2 linked regions of the Macaca fascicularis genome follow. The protein of the gene in region 1 purifies or fractionates together with the protein of each later gene. This does not show direct contact. Links are inferred from orthologs where the notes say so. Each region holds a gene or a part of one and is shown in the gene's direction. Other genes may lie near its edges.

Evidence for each region. The genes of interacting proteins can lie anywhere in the genome.
Region 2: the proteins of SNRPA (region 1) and SNRNP70 purify together in Homo sapiens (affinity purification with mass spectrometry; 4 studies listed by BioGRID and IntAct, counting the BioPlex papers as one, with this or other methods). This does not show direct contact. The link is inferred for Macaca fascicularis from reciprocal best matches to the Homo sapiens genes SNRPA and SNRNP70.

Annotation. Positions count from the first base shown.
Region 1 is NC_088393.1:47,872,361-47,875,873, forward strand, and holds part of SNRPA (U1 small nuclear ribonucleoprotein A), read left to right. Parts: intron 1-2,384; coding exon 2,385-2,564; intron 2,565-3,513. UniProt on the Homo sapiens protein: Component of the spliceosomal U1 snRNP, which is essential for recognition of the pre-mRNA 5' splice-site and the subsequent assembly of the spliceosome. U1 snRNP is the first snRNP to interact with pre-mRNA.
Region 2 is NC_088393.1:57,061,366-57,065,547, forward strand, and holds the start of SNRNP70 (U1 small nuclear ribonucleoprotein 70 kDa), read left to right. Parts: upstream 1-1,375; 5' UTR 1,376-1,569; exon of another isoform or gene 1,570-1,774; intron 1,775-2,328; 5' UTR 2,329-2,338; coding exon 2,339-2,485; intron 2,486-4,182. UniProt on the Homo sapiens protein: Component of the spliceosomal U1 snRNP, which is essential for recognition of the pre-mRNA 5' splice-site and the subsequent assembly of the spliceosome. SNRNP70 binds to the loop I region of U1-snRNA.

The DNA of each region.
Region 1 (3,513 bases):
TTGCCTCCTTTAAAAATTTTTTTGGCGGAGTGCGGTGGCTCATGCCTGTAATCCCAGCACTTTCGGAGGCCGAGGCAGGCAGTTTACCTGAGCTCAGGAGTTTGCGACTAGCCTGGGCAACACTGTGAAACCCCGTCTACTAAAATACAAAAATTAGCTGGGCGTGGCAGCATGCGCCTGTAGTCCCAGCTACTCGGGAGGCTGAGGAAGGAGAATTGCTTGAACCTGGGAGGCAGAGGTTGCAGTGAGCCGAGATCCTGCCACTGCTCTCCAGCCTGGGTGACAGAGTGAGACTGTCTCAAAATACGTATATATATGTATATTTGGCTGGACATGGTGGCTCATGCCTGTAATCCCAGCACTTTGGGAGGCTGAGGCCAGTGGATTACCTGAGGTCAGGAGTTCGAGACCAGCCTGGCCAACATGGCGAAACCCTGTCTCTACAAAAATACAAAAATCAGCTGGGCATGATGGCTGGCACCTGTAATCCCAGCTACTTGGGAGGCTGAGGCAGGAGAATTGCTTGAACCCGAGAGGCGGAGGTTGCAGTGAGCCAATATCGCACCACTGCACTCCAGCCTGGGTGACAGAGCAGGACTATATCTCAAAAAATAAAAATAAATTTAAAGAAATCTTAAAAAAATTTTTTTTAATTTATTTTATTTATTTATTTATTTTTGATGAGATAGACGATGCTATCTCCCCTGGAAACGCTGATTTTTGTATTTTTAGTAGAGATAGGGTTTCGCCATGTTGCCCAGGCTGGTCTCGAACTCCTGAGCTCCAGTGATCTGCCGGCCTCAACCTCCCAAAGTGCTAGGATTACAGGCGTGAGCTACTGTGCCACACTAAGAATGTTTAACATACCTTCCCCTACTGAATAAGCACCGTGAAAGAGGGGTTTTTGTCTATTTTTTTCATTGCTTTATTCCCAGAGCCTCGAATTGTGCCTGGCATCTGGCAGGTTCTTCTTTTTTTTTTTTTTTTTGAGACAGAGTCTTGCTCTGTCGCCCAGGCTGGAGCGCAGTGGCCGGATCTCGGCTCACTGCAAGCTCCGCCTCCCGGGTTTATGCCATTCTCCTGCCTCAGCCTCCCGAGTAGCTGGGACTACAGGCGCCCGCCACCTCGCCCGGCTAGTTTTTTTTTTTTTTTTTTTTTGTATTTTTTAGTAGAGACGGGGTTTCACTGTGTTAGCCAGGATGGTCTCGATCTCCTGACCTCGTGATCCGCCCGTCTCGGCCTCCCAAAGTGCTGGGATTACAGGCTTGAGCCACCGCGCCCGGCCTGGCAGGTTCTTCTTAAACAGCTAAGTGAATGAGATTGAACCTGGAAGACTGAGGTGTATTCTTGTGTGATAGGAAATCCCCGTGCACTGCACTCCTCTCCTAGCATTGTCTCCTCGGGCTTTTGGCCTGACGTTTATTGCTGTTCCAGCTTCCCTTGAAAATACCAACAGCCTTTCTACTGAACACTTACTTACTGTGTGTCAGGTACTGTTCCAAGCACTTTAACTCATTTAGTCCTCATAACAGTCCTTTGAAGTGGGAGGTATCATAATCCCCGTTTTTCAGACAAGGAGGTTAAGGCCAAGATATTTATATTTCTGTGTTTCTCAGTAAGCTCCTGATAAGGTCTGATTTTTTTGTTTTTTGTTTTTGTTTTGTTTTGTTTTTTGAGACAGTGACTTGCTCTGTCGCCTGGGCTGGAGTGCACAGGCGCGATCTCAGCTCACTGCAACCTTCGCCTCCCGGGTTCAAGCGATTCTCCTGCCTCCTGCCTCCTGCCTCAGCCTCTTGAGTAGCTGGGACTACAGGTGCATGCCACCATGCCCAGCTAATTTTTGTATTTTTGGTACAAATGGGGTTTCCCGGCCAGGCGCGGTGGCTAGTGCCTGTAATCCCAGCACTTTGGGAGGCTGAGGCGGATGGATCATGAGGTCCGGAGTTCGAGACCAGCCTGGCCAAGATGGTGAAACCCTGTCTCTACTAACAATACAAAAATTAGCCGGGCATGGTGGTGGGCGCCTGTAATCCCAGCTAGTAGTGAGACTGAGGCAGAATTGTTTGAACCTGGGAGGTGGAGGTTGCAGTGAACTGAGATCTCATCACTGCACTTTAGCCTGGGTGACAGAGCAAGACAATGTCTCAAAAAAAGAAAGAAAGAAAAAGAGAGAGAGACAGAGACAAAGAAATGGGGTTTCGCTGCAATGGCCAAACTGGTCTCCACCTCCTGACCTCAAGTGACCTACTCCCTTTAGTCTCCCAAAGGGCTGGGATTACAGGCATGAGCCACAACACCTGGCCCCGGTAAAGGTCCAGTTTTGAATCTTGGCAATTGGGCTCTGAATCCACGCTCTTAACCCGTTCTGCTCTCTGTTTTGGTAGCGTATCCAGTACGCCAAGACTGACTCAGATATCATTGCCAAGATGAAAGGCACCTTCGTGGAGCGGGACCGCAAGCGGGAGAAGAGGAAGCCCAAGAGCCAGGAGACCCCAGCCACCAAGAAGGCTGTGCAAGGCGGGGGAGCTGCCCCTGTGGTGGGGGCTGTCCAGGGGCCTGTCCCGGTAAGCCAGGCCCTGGAGACCAGCCCTCCCACTGCCAAGCCTTCCTCAGCCACATGGACTGGCTTTGGGACAGGGTGGGGAGAGTTCTCCACTTGGGGCTTCAGACCCCCTCCTTTCTGTTTCCTTATAGAGATGTGTGTCTCTCTTTTGGGGTGTTGAGCACCTAGATGATGCTATATCCTCTTGAAACGCTTGTTTCCTCCTTGTGAATGTTTCTCAAGGTCTTTCTTCATGGCTGTGACTTGGTTTCGCTCTCTCCATGGCCTTGATTTTGTCGCCTGTGTCTTGTAACTCATTGTGCATGTAGAAAGTCCAAGTGTCTACTAAGCAACTGTTAGGATTAATAAGTGAACTTCATTTAGAAAGGTTGCTGGATATAAGGGCAATATGGAAAAAATTAGTTTTATTATTTATTAATATTATTTTTGAGACATGGTCTCACTGTCACCCAGGTTGGAGTGCAGTGGTGCCATCACAGCTCACTGCAACCTCTGCCTCAGCCTCCCTAGCAGCTGGAGCTGCCGGTGCGTGCCACCCCACCCAGCTCACTTTTGCATTTTTTGTAGAGACGGGGCTTAGCTGTATCATCCAGGCTAATCTCAAACTCACTGTCTCAGCCTCCCAAAGTGCCAGGATTACATGCATGAGTCACCATGGCCGACCCCCAGTTTTATTTTTATATGCCAGTAACAGACAAGTAGACTTCACATTGAGAAGTAGCACTGAGGGGTAAATCCAACAAAAGGTTTGCAGAATGACTACACTGAAATCACAGAACGTAGCTGGGAGAAATCAGAGACTCAGCAATGGATAGAAGGACTCAGTATTGTCAAGAGGTCAGTTCCATCCAAATTAATGAATATTCAACGTGATTGCAGTCAAAATTCCAACAGGTATTTTGGTAAACAGTGGACACTGATTGGCTCTTTGTAAATGTGTGGAAAGACAA
Region 2 (4,182 bases), about 9.2 Mb from region 1:
TCAGCTAATTTTTGCATTTTTAGTAGAGATGGGATTTCACCATGTTGGCCAGGCTGGTCTCGAACTCCTCAAGTGATCCACCCGCCTTGGCCTCCCAAAGTGCTGGGATTACAGGTGTGAGCCACTGCACTTGGCCTTTTTATTGAAACATAAAATTAGTCAATTGAATTTTGCAGTAATTTAGTTATTAAACAGGCTATTGAATCTATCCACAAAACTTAAGATACTTAACAACAGGGCTTCAAATAACTTAAGTGCCAGCTCTCTGATCTCATGGCTAACAACCTGAGATTTCTGCCATCTGGTCCTCGCTCAGGACCTTTGCACTTAAACTGTTAAACACCACCCCCCGCTCCCCCCCGCCTCCAGATCTCGCTTCTATCTGGTTTTTGTTCAAATGTTGCCTCTTCAGAAGAGGCTTCCATTATCAAAATAGACTCGCTCTCATTTCCCATCCCTTTATTCTGCTCCATCGTTCTTCATTATGCTGGCCACTATCTCAAAATATCTTTTATTTTTTATATTTATTTATTTTTGAGACGGAGTCGCTCTGTCGCCCAGGCTGGAGTGCAATGGCACGACCTCGGCTCACTGCAAACTCAGCCTCCCAAGTTCAAGCGATTCTCCTGCCACAGCCTCCCGAGTAACTGGGATTACAGGCGCGCACCGCCACGCCCGGATAATTTTTGTATTTTTAGTAGAGACGGGCTTTCACCATGTTGGTCAGGTTGGTCTCGCACTCCTGACCTCAGGTGATCCGACCGCCTCAGCTTCCCAAAGTTCTGGGATTACATGCGTGATCCACCGCGCCCGGCCTCAAATTATCTTTACTCAGTTAAATGCTTTTATTGTCTCTCCCAGTACAGTGTAAGCCCTAGCAGGAGAAGACTTTGCTTTAATCACGTGCTGTAGCCCCAAAGCCCAGACAGTGCCTAGCACACACGAGATGCTCGATGAACAGTTATCGATTGACTAGATTAAACATCAACGCAATCAGGCCATTCACTTAGGGACTCTTTGCTAGTCGGCGGAGAGGTACATTATAGTTCACTACGCAGAACGCATGCGCGCAAGATCCGGGAAGTGTGATTGGAAAGGGGCGGAGCATCAGGGAGAGCCTCGCGGACATAGGCGGTTTGGAGCGGAAAGCGAGAGGTGGAGGGGCGGCTTGGGGCTAAGCGCGCGCGCGCAGTGCAGACGCCAGCTCCCGGCGGTTGAAATACTCAAGGTGCCCGAAGGCGGGGTGGTGACCTCGCGCGTGCGCTGTTGCCGCGGCGGCGCCGGGTCCTAGCGTGTGGGTTGAGCTTGGCCTCGCGCGGCGCGTGCGCAGTGCAGACGGCGGAGGGATTTGCGGCCGGGACCCACCCCCTGCTCCAGTCGCTAGCCGAGGCCGCGCGGGTTCCTGAGCAGCGGCCTGGTGCGCTCGCTGCGCGGGCGACGGAATCAGACGGACGCGGACGCCCCCAGAGTGGAAGCCCAAGCAGGAGCTGTTGTTGCTGAGGGGCCGCCGCAGCCGCCGCGAGCCTCCGGACAGACACCAGAGCTAGGAGGGCGCTGCGCGGCGAGTGAGTGTGACTGAGTGGCCCGACGGGGAGCGGGGCCGCTACCCAGAAGCCCCAGCGGTGGGCCCGGGCCTCTTCCCCGCGGCCAGGCCCCCTTCCCGCGTCCTCGCCACAGGTCACTTTTGCATCCCTTTCCCGGACCCCGAGTTCTCTGGGCACCCACGCCCGGTCCCCACATCGCCCTCGCGGTTCCCTACCCACAGGCCCTTGCGGTGTGTAGCCTTTTTTCTTTTTCGTTTTTCTATGTTGTCCTGGACCCTTACCCATAATTCCTTTCGCCTTTGCGGGGCCCAGATCTGTTACCCACAATCGCTTGGTTTTGGGGCTTCGCTCCTTATGTTTCTCTTTCTTTGCTCGGAGACTTCCGACCCCCAGGCCCTTGCAAACTGCGTCTAGTAATTTGCTGTCCACGGTACGGGACGAGCAGCCACAACTGCCCTGGGCCTCCCTCCTCGGGTCTTTGATTCCCCCAGAAATTCCCAGGCAACCTCTCCGCCCCACAGCTCGTGTCTCAGGACTCTGAGACTTCACTACTCAGGAACCCTTTTTCAGCCTTTATTTTTGTGTCTTTTACCGGCCTTTCACCTCCACCTCCAACAAGACTTTTACCCTTTTCTCCGTAACACAGGACCGTTCTCTGCCGTTACAAAGCCTGTTTTAATTCCGAGACTTTTCTCCTTTCTTTCTTACTTTGAGAGTCAAGGAGTAATAGGGGCTTTCTCTGCAGACCCGATCTAACCTAAGGCTGTCCTGCTTCTGCTCTCAGACTTGGCAAGATGACCCAGTTCCTGCCGCCCAACCTTCTGGCCCTCTTTGCCCCCCGTGACCCTATCCCATACCTGCCACCCCTGGAGAAACTGCCACATGAAAAACACCACAATCAACCTTACTGTGGCATTGCGCCGTACATTCGAGAGTTTGAGGTGAGTTCACTGAGCAGGCCAGGAATGGTTTGGGTTCTGGGGAGCAAGGGGTTGGATTTGCGAGTCCAGCCTCTGACTATTTTGCTAGCTGTGTGATTTAAGCGAGGGGCTTAATCTTTGTGATCCTCAGTTTCGCTGTTTTAAATGGGGTTGCAGCCGGGTGCCGGGTGTGGTCGAGTGCAGCAGTAGTTCTAGCTACTCAGGAGGCTGAGATGGGAGGATTGCTTGAGCCCAGGAGTTGGGGACTGAAGTGCTCTGTGATTGTGCCGCTATACTCCGGCCTGGGTGACAGAGCAGGACTTTGTCTCTCAAAAAAAAAAAAATTTTTTTTAAAGTGGGGTTGTGGCCCAGTGCGGTGGCTCACGCGTGTAATCCCAGTACTTTGGGAGGCTGAGGCAGGTGGATCACCTGAGGTGAAGAGTTCAAGACCAGCCTGACCAACATGGTGAAACCCCGTCTCTACTAAAAATAACAAAAATTAGCCGGGCATGATGATGCCTGTAATTCCAGCTCCTTGGGAGGCTGAGGCACGAGAATCACTTGAACCCAGGAGGTGGAGGTTGCAATGAGCTGAGATCGTGCCACTGCACTCCAGCCTGGGCAACAGAAGAAGACTGTCTCAAAAAAAAAGTAGGGTTTGATAGTACCCCTTTTGTAGAATTTTTGTGAAAATTCAGTGAGTAGTGGTTGAAGATTGGCACTTAACCCGCACCATTTATCAGCTCTGACTTTGGGCAAATGTTGTATCCTCTTCATGCATTGGTTTCTTTATCTTTAGCAAGGGGATAGTGGTAGCACCCTCATAATGCTGGAGAATTAAATGGCAAAGTGTATATCAGGGGCTTGGCACCAACCAGTCAGCACGTGTCAGCCTTTGTTACTTTGTTTACTGTTTTTATTGTTAATAAGATGATGTTCATAAAGACTTAGCACCCAGTATTGAGTATTGGAGGACTTAAAACTGCAGATGGGGATCTTAGCTCTGCACCTTCGGGGTAAATAGGAATGAATGACTTAGGCTCCTGGACCTCTGTGTTTTTATTTGTGAAATGGGATGACAAAGGTCTTCTCCTAGGTGCATCAGAGCACACCTGAGAAAAACTGGCACATAGCCAGAAGTTACAAGAACATTCTGGCATTGCGTAGGGAAGGGCAGCTGGAGGCGAGGGAGTTGCACAGCAGAAGTTCATAGATAACAGAAAGGTGTATCTTCAGTGGGATTTGCCACCCTTGGTGAACCCGCATTTGAGAAGTGTTACTGGCCAGTTAAATTAACTTAATGGGCACAGGCGGTGGTAGGTGCCCTTTGATGATGCAGGTCATGTGCCAGTTTCTATTTATTTATTTATTTATTTGAGAGGGAGTCTTGCTCTGTCGCCCAGGCTAGAGTGCAGTGGTGCGATCTCAGCTCACTGCAAGCTCCGCCTCCTGGGTTCACGCCATTCTCCTGCCTCAGCCTCCGGAGTAGCTGGGACTACAGGTGCCTGCCACCACGCCCGGCTAATTTTTTGTATTTTTAGTAGAAACGGGGTTTCACCGTGTTAGCCAGGATGGTCTGGATCTCCTGACTTCGTGATCCGCCCACCTTGGCCTCCCAAAGTGCTGGGATTACAGGCGTGAGCCACCGTGCCTGGTCTCAGTTACTAGTTATTTATTTTTTTTTTAATTTTTTTTTTTTTTTTTTTTTTTTTTTTTTG